Linked DNA regions of Tribolium castaneum. The protein of the gene in region 2 purifies or fractionates together with the protein of the main gene of each other region. This does not show direct contact. Links are inferred from orthologs where the notes say so. Each region holds a gene or a part of one and is shown on either strand. Other genes may lie near its edges.

Region 1 (3,363 bases), on a different chromosome or scaffold from region 2:
ACCACAATATTATACAGTCGCGTGGCTTCTATTTTTAAAACCTTGATCTTGTCTAAATTTGGTGATTGTTGTTTACTTAATTTATTATTATAATAATTTATTTATTTTGATCGAGAAACCAAACATAAATACAGGGTGAGGCATTTTTTTTTATAAAATCTAGTGCGTGTGCAGGAACATTATTAAAAAGTATTTGATAATTCGATATCATTTTAGTTTTGACAGTTCTGACCAGTTTGTGGTCATAATATAATAATAAATAATAAATAAAATAATAATAATAGTAAAAAATAATAATAAAAAAGTAATATAAGACTCAAACAAATTTTTGTCATCAAAAATCTGGGACTTTTGAATCATCCAGTATTTGTGGTCACTCAAGATCAAGTTGCCTACGCAATTACGCACCAATTATGCTATTTTTAAAATATGCACATTTTATCAAACACTTTTAATTATTATTTACTTGCACGAGCTTGCAATAACAGACTATAGGTAAGTATTTCACAGAAGGGCAACAGGAATTGTAAACATAGCTTCGGCAAGACCAAAAGGGCATTTAAATTAATCGAGATCAAGGCTAAGATAATTGATTTATTTTGTAATTATCAAGAGTGTCCTCTAATCCAGTACCAACTGATCGGCAACGTTTCCAATCGACTCGCTTTCCTCAACTTTCCCAAGTTGGCCGTTTTTGAACAACTGCGAGCTTTTGACAGCTGCAAACAGCGAAAACAGCAAATGCAACGCTTGGATTTTATTTTTGACCGGAATTTGAAACAACCCGCAAACTTCCTGCACATAATCACTCAAATTTCCCTTAGGTTCCGGAAATCCGTTCTCACTCAGCTGTTTTTCCATACTTTCGGGCCATTCTTGCATCAGCTCGTCCAAATCGGGCATCGGTCTGGAAAACTCAGTCAGGTCAAGTCACTCAAAGTCTAACCTACTCTGTGTAACGAACGGCCGGAAACGACTTGCTTTTATGCAACGCTGAAATGTCTTTAATCCACTTATCGATGATTTTGGCGTTTTTCTCAACATTGTCGATTTTTTTGACCACCTGTTGGTGTAAAGCATGACTGAGGGGTGGGGGAAAGCGGGGTTAGGTACCACAGTGCTGTCATTGGTCGTTTTGACCGACTCCGCCCTCAGTTGCAAGTGTAGCAAGGCCGGGTCACTCTGATTGGCCGCCGGTTCGTCCAAAACCACCAGTCCCAGCTGCTGATTGGCTACGAAGTCCGCGTCGGAGAGCAACGTTTTTGGCGGGAGGACTTTTAAAAACGCGTCAATGTCGCCAACCGCTGGGAGAAATTCAGGCACGAAGGGTTTGAACTTGTGGTCCAAACCCATTTGTTGGGGGATGTACCTAAATATTTAGCAGCCCTGTAAGTATTTCAATCGACTCACTTTGTTATGTATTGAAATATGTCTTTAATTTCGGGACTAACGTCCAAATTTTCGTACTCCTTCGGGTCATATTCACCCGGAATTGCATCCTTTGTTTTTTCTTCGTCACTGTCGTCTTCACTGTCACTCGATAAACCTGTTGGTTTACGTAAGACAGTTTGGCGGCCCGAAGGGCCGGCGCTGGGGATTTTAGATAAGTGTTTGTCAGGGTCGTAGTCGGTGGCCGAGGCCTGAAAATCTAAGTACGGTTCTGGACACAGGTTGGGGGTTTTACCTGTCTGGTGGCCATTTTGGCTAAATTGGTTTCGTAATCGTTGATTGTTTGCGAGTTTGAGCGTTCAGATAACGCGCCTCCGTATTTTTTGAGGATTTGCTCATCGAAATTTTCGCTCTCTTCTTCGTCCTTTCAAGTGAAAATTGGGTAAAAATTTATTAGGGGAAATACCTACAACTTACGTCAACAATTGAAAATGACCGTTGCATTTTTGTGTCAAAATAATGATTTTGATTTAGAAATGGCGTTGTTTTGTTTGTATTTCGTTACTTAGCAACCGAGTTGCGTGGATACTGAACAGGGGATGTAACTTGATTTGTTTTTTTATGCGTTAGTATGATTTTTAGAAAATGATACAATCAAAAAAACGACTGTAAGTCAATTTTTTTTAATGAAAAATGGAATAACTATTTTTTCAACAGCACGCAAAACTAGGTATAGAGGGTGTTTCAAAATTGACGAATTCCAAGTTCAGATGAAAATTGTTTCGGTAGTCCAATCGTAAAAAAATTAAATAATAAAAATAAAATAAAAAAATGCAGGGTGCTCAAAAACTGGCGCACCAACTCAGTGGTACGTTGTTGAGAAGCATGTGTAGATCACGGGAAAAATCTTGAAAAAATTCCTAAACCCATATTTAAAAAAATCTGGAGCTACAAACTTATTTTGTTAACTTCTTCAGTTTTCATTATTTTTTTATGTTTTTATGTTTCATACCAGGTAATCGTTCCGTAACAAAACGATGAATAATTATTTTAAAATTTACTATCAGATTCTAGCAGTTTTTTTAATTTAAAAAAATTAAAATTTATCCAAAAAATCCCAATGTGTAGATGTGCCAACACTGGGAATTATTTCCTAGGAAACCGTTTCAAAAATAATTTATTTTTATTGTTGCTCAAATTCTATTGCGATCAGGACTATTAGACAACGTTGCCACATATCATTTATCTAAAATCCGTTATTTATCAATAACTTTAATACAAAGAATTTTTTTACTATTTTTACCTTTATATGTAACCAGTTCTCTACCACACACCATTGAGTTAGTGCGCCAGTTTTTGAGCCCACTGTATAATAAAAAAATTAAATAAAAAAATATAATAAAAAATAAAATAAAAAAATAACATGAAAAAAAATAAAAGAAAAAATTAAAAAAATTAAAATAGCTTTCTTATGGAGCAAAAAATTTTTAAGTTTTTGTAATTTGCCGTTTCAATTAAAGAAAAATATAAGTTTTTTTTACTTCAAAATGAAGTTAATTTTTCGAAAAATTGTTTTACATTGTTGTTTTCCACAACCACCTACATCAAAATTAACAATAGACATTGAAATTTTTAACATGCTAACCAATGTGTCTTTGTGGGGAAGCCTCGAATTTTCTACATTTGGACTACTGAAGTGATTGTCTACAATGCTCTGAACTGGGAATTTGCCAATTTTGAGACACCCCCTGTATATGTTTTTGAGGAAATAAAAAAATCTGAACCACTCCATTTTAAAAAATCCTAGTTTTTTAGGGTTGACTGTACAAATTATAATACTTGTATCAAAAAACTTCATACACGATAGCATAATTTGTCTTATTTGTCTAATTAACATTTTTTCCTTCCTAATTAAGGAACAGTAATTATCGTTTAAATTTCTAGAAATGTGCTTGCGTGTTTATAATACATAAT
Region 2 (3,586 bases):
TAGAGTATCCCACGAGCGCATCAATGGTCGGAACCAATAGCCAAGGTGAATGTTACGGTCAGCAGAAAAATTTTCCGACCTTGATTATGTAATTTGCCCAATTGGGCCGATTTGGAAATTGACCACAATGATTGGAATTGCATGGTGAAAGGATAATTCCTTGCAATTTTCTGCATGAAATTCGCCGAGTCCCTGGTAAGGCCGTTATGGTGACAGCGTCCATTTCTTCCGGATGAAAAGTAAAAGGACGATTCGGAGTTAATTAATGACAAAGATTTGCTCAGCGGTTTGAATACAATACTTGGGGTTATGTAATCGAGTTACGTAATGGTGGTTGATTGAAATTTGCGTTTTTGTTCTGGCTTTTCGATTGGTTGACCAATACCTAATTATTTCGCTAAACGGTTTTTATCACCGGCTTATTAATTTTTTGTGGGGAAACGACAACCCAAATTTGGTACTTGGAGTTGGGGACTGGCAGCCGGTGCATTCACCTCAGCTGCATTTGCAAATTCATCATTAAATAATTCAAAATAAAGTGTAGCTTTTATTGGTTTGACATTTTTAAAAATCATCATCGCTGTTATCATTCAACTTGTTCCCGGCCGGTTTTCCCGACTGCACCCTTTTGGTCAACTCCATCCCCGATAGTTCCAACCCCAAAGACTCGTCATCCGACTGAATCAACTCTGACTCGTCTTTGTCAATAAACAACTCGTCGTCTTCCGAATCCGAGCTCAAGGACGGGGTTGCGGACATCGGTGGTTGCATTCCGCCGTAAGCTTTGGCCGTCTTGGCAGTTCTAGTCCTCCCTAAAAAAAGACAAAATAAAAAAATAGGAACCCGTTATCTTACCCCCGGTGCTAGCTCTCGGTCTCTCCTGCTTTTGCCTCGCCTCGCTCTCCTCCAACTCCAGAAACGCCTCAGTTCCTCCTTCCAGCGGAATGGTTTCGATCCGAGGCGAAACCATTTGGAGTTGTTTCTCCAATTGTTGGCGCTCTGTCTCCGACACCAGCCGTTCCAGTTGGTTCAAAATGCGCACTCTGGTGGAGTACTGCACAAAGAGTTGCTCCAGTTCGGCCTCAAGAGCGGTAAACTCTTCCATAAAGGCCGGCCTGACTTTTTTCAACGTTTGGAGCCGTTTTTCGTAACGATCTATTTCGACTTTTCTGCGCTCGATCTTATTGTCCAAATTGGCCTCAGTTGCTGAGACGTTGTCAATGAGCTGTTTGCTTTCGTCAATTTCGGTTTTAAGAGCTTCGATTGCCTTCTTAATTCCGGCTTCAACTTCGTTGATTTCGTACTGGCGGCTAACACTTTTGTGTCTCGCCGCCTTCAGTTCCACTTCTTTGCCCAAAAGATCGAAAAGTGTGGCCCCGGTTGTAGTTATTTCGCTTGCCAGTTGTCTGGATAACTTTAATTCGTTTATCTGCAAAACACCGCCGGGTTATTATTAGTTGCCTACCTAACACAAGACTTAAGGCGCGTTCATCTCAAGGCCATCCAGAGAAGATTATAGAAAATCAACGTAAAAACTTGATCAACTTAGTTGAAACTAGAGGATGCGCCTTTACCTTGTCACTTAAATCAAAGTCTTTCAGACTCAACATTTCTTCCTCAAAATTTTCGTCCTCCTTTTCCTCCAAATTCATATTCAAAGCGTCATACAAGAGTGACGTAATTTTTAACAGTTCTTTAACTGCGTAACCATCGGCTTGATACAACCTTTTTGTATTCAGCTTGATGTTGGCTTTCAGGGCCATAAATTGCGCCGCGTTTCGAATCAATTTAACCCGATCATCTTCAGTATCAATCTCTGGCGGTATATCGACATCAGGGTCGAACCGCTTAGCTAACCAAACCAATAAATCGGCGACTAAAGGAAAATTAGGTGTGCGAAAGCTTTCCATTGAAATTAAAGACGGGTATCCTAAAGCCCGCATCATTTCAAGAAAATCTACAAAAAGGGATGATTTTTGCGAAAATATTTTAACCAAAAAGCTCACTTCGCACGTCTCTGAATGACATTTTAAGTCTTGTTTGAATGTAACAGTTGCTAAGTAACGCGTAACGCATGGCTGGGAAGGGTGGATCAGAGTAGGCATCGATTAATAAAATAGCTTTATTACACCAAAACAATAAATACAAAAATTAATAAATAAGACATATCACCCATGGTGGCAGTATTTTAGCCGGTACTTTTAAGAATCCAGTCGAAAATTTTCGAAACATTAGAATAAATTAAAACTAAGTCAGGTCAGGTCAAGTCTCAGGTACTGTCAAGTTGCGTCTAAGGAAAGGTCTAGGAAGTTCGCTCGAGCAGGAAACGTTGAGATTGACATCGGGAAGTACCATCACGTCTGGTTCCTCTTCCGTGGCGTTGTAAACTAGCCATTTTGAGTCTCCGGGTAGTACCTCCAGGTCTACCAGTCTCACATCGTCAGTGGTACCACCTTCGTCAAGTTCTAAGTCGCCTTCACGTTGCGAAACGTGTAATTGAACGGTGGCTCCGCTCGGGTCTAGATACTCCTGGCCCTTCACGCTTGAGATTTTCACGAATTTGGTACCACTGGATTGCTTTTTGGGGGTGTAGAAGTCCAGTTTGTCGTGTTCGTAGTTGGTCGAAAATTTTTCCACGTGGCTGAAAGGACGTGGCAAATCGTCTTGGTCTTCAAAATTAGGAGTCGAGTAGACGTCGCTGTAAAGTCTGTCGAAAGCATCGTCTTGCGGTCGCCGTTTTGAATAAACGTAGTTGTTTGAGTAAATGTAGGGGCGTTTTGAGGACGTGAAAGGCTGGTCTTCGTATTTGCTTTGGTAGTAGTTTTGCGGTCTATAGACCGAGTAGTCGTCACTGTAAAAATTCTGTTTGGTCGTCGAGTCGTACGGGCGTCGCGTTCGTCTGGTCGGTTGGGGAGTCGTCGGAGGGTAGTACTGAATTTTGATATTGACTTGGAACGGTTTGGGAGTTGGAATAGGGGTTGTGGACTCGGATACAACCCCAAATAGGTAAGTCACGTCAGGTCTAGTCGTGCGTCGGTCATTGTAACTGTCAAAAGTCGGTCTTTGTGGTATGTTATCTGGTACGTTGCCGTAACTGTCAGTGTAAGTCTGTTTCGTTTGTACTTTAACCGTGTGAGTCGTCGTGTTGTAAACCTTAACTTTGACGGGAGTCGCAACTTTGGGTTTTTTAGTAGTAGTACGTTTCAACTTCCGTCTCTTCCTCCCCTCTCTCCGAACTTCATTCAAGTCCTCTTCAACCCACGGCGAAAGATCGAAGTTGTCAATGACAGGATCGTCGCAGGACAATCGAGAGTTGCGAAAGCCATCAACAGTCAGAAAAACAAAAGGTTGGATCGTTTCAATCTCCGTCAAAGTCTGGCAAAGGACATGCGCAAGGGTCACGTGGCGGATTTGTTGCAGTTGCGCAGGAGTGAAGCTCGACTCAAATCCGCCGTTTTCGTACCAAAACCGGTCACCTTTCCGCAAATTTAGGAACTGTTGGGCTATGATACAGGCAAAAGTGGGGCCTATGATGCCCCCACGCACGGGTTTCTCGGCCAAACCCCCCGAAAATAGGTCGATATCG
Region 3 (4,141 bases), on a different chromosome or scaffold from region 2:
AAAAAAATCAATTGTGAAGATCCACTGATCAAATTAAAATTAGTTCCATTAAAAAAAATCTTATATTTGAAACGATTTGGACTACGAAGCATTTAGTTTAATATGAAAATAAATAATTGCGAAAAATTCTGAGAAAAAAAATCACGTATAGAGAAAAACGTAAAGTCTTTAACAATTATACAATCTTTTTTTAGTCAAATAATCCCCAACTATAAAAATAAAAAATCACCAAAAATCATTCCAACACAAAATGCGTCCAAGTTGGCAGCATTTGAACACGCCAACCTACCTCGAACATATCCTTTGATAAACGATAACACGCGACCCTAATGAGTTACTTTAACGACTACAGTTTATGGTAGAATTTTAACCGCAACCATTTTAATTTTACTATTTGTTTGCCCAACAAATTCCACATTTACTCCCTGCTGTGAGATGACCAACTTTTATTATTGGTACACATTCAAAATAAAAAAATTTACAAAATCATGAAAAAAATCAAGTTGCGTGTTTTAGAACCGGCGCATCCACCATTTCGCCTTCAGTGGTATAATTACCATCGCCATTACACCCCAAAAAATGGCCTGGTGTTTTGAATTAATTCTTACCAGAGGAGGCACTAGCGGACGGCTGCATGGTCATGCCAATTGAGCAAATTTCAGTATCGTCATCCCACAACATTTTAACACAACACACTCACAACCAACAAAACAAACCCAGATATGTTACATTGATACGGAGCGAGTTTTCAAGGGGTTTCATGGTATTTCTGTGGTAGCAGGTGCTGGGTCGATGGGTGCTCGCCAGCGACTGCAGTGCCTGGCTTTGTTTGTAACCCTGGGCGACTGTATTCCGATACTGCGCCCTCGCACCCTTACATTTGCACCCTTAATCAGGCGCGTTTCGCTGCTTTTTCCAACGTCATCAGTCATTAATTTCACTCACCTTTGTCAACAAAACAGTCCTTGAACGGTGACAAATTGTTCCGTTCTAGCCATTCATCGACTTTACCATCCGGTTTATTGTCCGATTCAAATAATCCAGACCAAAAGCAAAAACACAGTCTTATCACACTAGCAACACTAACAAAAACCAAAAATACAACAGCGAATAGTTTGGCACAACGCTTCATAATACAATTTTACGAAATTTTCGTTACATTTTGGCTTTTTTTCGAGTTTGGTTGAGACGGCTGTGCCCACTTTTAGCAACCGGCCGCCATTACTGTTTTTGTCAAATGTGGCGCCCTCTAAGTGGGCGGAGCCGCACGTTACCATGACAATACGAATACAAATTGACGAAATTTTACGCCAAAAAATGTCAGAAGAGAGTGAACAAACGTTTTCGGCTTTTAGCCAAATGGAAGGGCTTCTAGATAAGTTGAAATTGTTGAATTACGAAGCTGAATTTTTCAAGGAAACTAAGCTCAAGCCCATCCATAGGAAAGTCCCCAGTTTAATAATTCAAATAGTAATGGAATTAATTACAGGTATTATTTTGTTGTTACCAAAAACCCGGGCGAACAATTTTATTTGTTTGCCTTATTGGCGGCCTATTTAATACAGAAGATTGGAATTAGTTTCCAAACGCCACAAGAGGATGATGACCCGAATGTGACCGTGGAAAAAATACTAGATGTGGTGCGAAAAAATGTAATTCATTATTGAAATTTGCACTATGGTTGGAAACAGAATATAAGTTGGTATTTTTACAAAACACAGTATGATACGTCATTTTTGTCACGAGTTTATAAAGCGAGTTGCATACTATATTTTTTCTACGACAGTAGAAGTAACATTTGCACATTTTTTTCGAAAAAAACATAAAAGTTTCAACGATTTCTCTCTTAAAAACCACCAAAATAGCATAAGAATAATTAAAATTAGATATTTTGTGGCCAATTTTATATAAAATGTTTGAACTAGAATTTTTTCTTGAAAACTTTAGACTATATATTAATTCCCAAATCGTTAAATTAAATCACCAAACCCCAAAAAAACAGCAAATTAGATCGAAAAAACGTTTTATTCTAACGTTATAGCATTTTTTTTAAATTTTTAACTCTAATTTTTCACCAAATTTTGTCAAAAAGCAGCAAATTACGGTAAAGAAGACAATATTCTGGAATTTTCCAAGTTCAAAAATTCCTTATTTTGAGAAACTCTGAAATAAATGAGTCCAAAAACTCGAAATTTTTGCTGAATTCCGTCATAAATTTCTTAAAAAATCACGAAATTAATGTGTTTTTCGTCAAAATTAATATAAAATATCTAAACTATCGTCAAATTTGTGCATCTTGGCACAAAATTGAGACAAAAAACACAAAAAAACAGCAAATTAGGTCAGGTCAGGTCAGGTCAAAAAAGTTTAATTCAAACATTTAAGCATTTTTTTTAATTTGAAACTTTAATTTTCCACCAAATTTCGTCGAAAAGCAACAAATTATGGTAAAATTAGCGTTGTTTTGGAATTTTTCAAGCGTGTAAGTTGATTTTTCAGGTAAAAATTCTCATATTTCGAGAAATTCTTAATAAAAAATTAAACCTCAATTTTAAAATAACACAGTTTTACATAGTTTTTTATGATTTTCTGCACGTTTTCGTCTTAGGAACACGAAATTTTTGGCAAATTTCACAATAAATCTCCCACAAAATCCCCAAATTTGTGAATTTTTTTAAATATTTCAGTTAAAAATAATAAAAAAATATCCAAACTATCGCTAAATTTGCGCCTTTTTCAAGCACTTTTAATTTTTCAGCTAGGAACTCATTTTTTTCGCTAAATTTTGCCAAAAAAAAACAAATATCAAAAAATAAACAGACGTAAAATCAAAAATTCTGTTTCCATCCACTAATTTATTGGCCAAGTATTAAAATCCGAATTCTAGGAAATTGCTGTTAATTTCCACGCCAATAAGCTGATGCAAGGTGTGGGCGAACAAGTGGTTTACATTTTGGACAGTCTGGCCAGCAAGGCTTTGGAGAAAAATTTCATGTTCCAAAAGTGAGTAAATCCCCCTTTGTTTGCTTTAAAAATTGTGTTAGGCCTTTGCTTCCCGAGGAAAAAGCGGAAGAAAGCGAGCTGATAAACGACGAATCCGAGATAAACCTTGACCGTGTGGAGGAGGAAATGTTGGCAGCTTACACGGACGATTCCGACGAGGAAAACCTTTTCCTCCTTGATAACGTGAAAGTGGCCCGGAAAGAGCCCCAAATGGCCGAAATCAAAATGAACGTAAATGAAGAAGCGTGGAAATTGGAACTGGAGCGAGTTCTCCCGCATTTAAAAATCACAGTTAAGAATGAAAACCGTGATTGGCGTTCGCATTTAGAGCAAATGAAGCAATACAAAGTCAGTGTTGACTCGTCACTTGGTGTGGTTAAAACACAGTTGGAGAAGTTGCATAAGGAGATAAGTCAAACGCTTGATAAAATCGCAAGTCGAGAGAAGTTTCTCAATCGGGAGCTGGAGAATAATTTGGATGAATATAGAATGCTGCAAGATCAGCTCTCGAAAATCAGAGATGCTTATAAGGGGATCAGCGAGGGGGTTGCTGAGAGGAATCGCGAGCTGTTCAGGCTAACGGATCGATTGGAGACAGTCAAACAGCAAATGGAGGAGAGAGGGAGTTCGATGACGGATGGAAGTATGTTTTATCCACTGGTTGGGTACTTTATGGTAAAACGGAATTTTATCGGCTGGGAAAATAAAGTTCGCAACCGTGTCTGTTTTTCTGTTTTTGACATTTTTTCAGTCAATATAATGGAAGGATAAAATTCACAATTATCTATCTTATCAAGCGTTTGAAATTATATTTTATCGTCTTGTAGATATTACAATAAATAATTTTTTTTCAGCCCCTTTGGTTAATATTAAGAAACAGTTGGGTAAGGTCAAGTCTGAGATTGTGGAAATGGATGTAAGGATTGGAATTTTGGAGTGTATTTTGCTCCAGTCGAAAATTCGAGACGAGAAAAATTTGGAAACTGAGTTTGGACAAGCGATTTCGGTTTTCTAGAACAATAAAAGTTTGTGATGTATTATGTTGTTTTATTGGTGGGAGTAATTTGATGTAAACTTGTGTAAAATGAGCCGGGGAATCGATTGGCGTTGAGAAAATCGACAAATTTCCAATAGTTTT

The links.
Region 1: the proteins of Cluap1 (region 2) and IFT46 purify together in Homo sapiens (affinity purification with mass spectrometry; 3 studies listed by BioGRID and IntAct, with this or other methods). This does not show direct contact. The link is inferred for Tribolium castaneum from reciprocal best matches to the Homo sapiens genes CLUAP1 and IFT46.
Region 3: the proteins of Cluap1 (region 2) and IFT57 purify together in Homo sapiens (affinity purification with mass spectrometry; 4 studies listed by BioGRID and IntAct, counting the BioPlex papers as one, with this or other methods). This does not show direct contact. The link is inferred for Tribolium castaneum from reciprocal best matches to the Homo sapiens genes CLUAP1 and IFT57.

The regions. Positions count from the first base shown.
Region 1 is NC_087400.1:5,250,800-5,254,162, reverse strand, and holds IFT46 (intraflagellar transport protein 46 homolog), read right to left. Parts: upstream 1,994-3,363; 5' UTR 1,894-1,993; coding exon 1,867-1,893; intron 1,814-1,866; coding exon 1,685-1,813; intron 1,641-1,684; coding exon 1,411-1,640; intron 1,370-1,410; coding exon 1,114-1,369; intron 1,064-1,113; coding exon 951-1,063; intron 908-950; coding exon 622-907; 3' UTR 582-621; downstream 1-581. UniProt on the Homo sapiens protein: Forms part of a complex involved in intraflagellar transport (IFT), the bi-directional movement of particles required for the assembly, maintenance and functioning of primary cilia. May play a role in chondrocyte maturation and skeletogenesis.
Region 2 is NC_087399.1:4,924,562-4,928,147, forward strand, and holds Cluap1 (clusterin-associated protein 1), read right to left. Parts: upstream 2,103-3,586; 5' UTR 2,077-2,102; coding exon 2,007-2,076; intron 1,958-2,006; coding exon 1,575-1,957; intron 1,430-1,574; coding exon 856-1,429; intron 813-855; coding exon 565-812; 3' UTR 535-564; downstream 1-534. Other genes in the region: chorion peroxidase, read right to left, coding at 2,263-3,586. UniProt on the Homo sapiens protein: Required for cilia biogenesis. Appears to function within the multiple intraflagellar transport complex B (IFT-B). Key regulator of hedgehog signaling.
Region 3 is NC_087402.1:750,067-754,207, reverse strand, and holds IFT57 (intraflagellar transport protein 57 homolog), read left to right. Parts: upstream 1-1,260; 5' UTR 1,261-1,275; coding exon 1,276-1,444; intron 1,445-1,491; coding exon 1,492-1,652; intron 1,653-2,887; coding exon 2,888-3,003; intron 3,004-3,044; coding exon 3,045-3,646; intron 3,647-3,857; coding exon 3,858-4,018; 3' UTR 4,019-4,040; downstream 4,041-4,141. Other genes in the region: apoptosis-resistant E3 ubiquitin protein ligase 1, read right to left, coding at 946-1,132. UniProt on the Homo sapiens protein: Required for the formation of cilia. Plays an indirect role in sonic hedgehog signaling, cilia being required for all activity of the hedgehog pathway.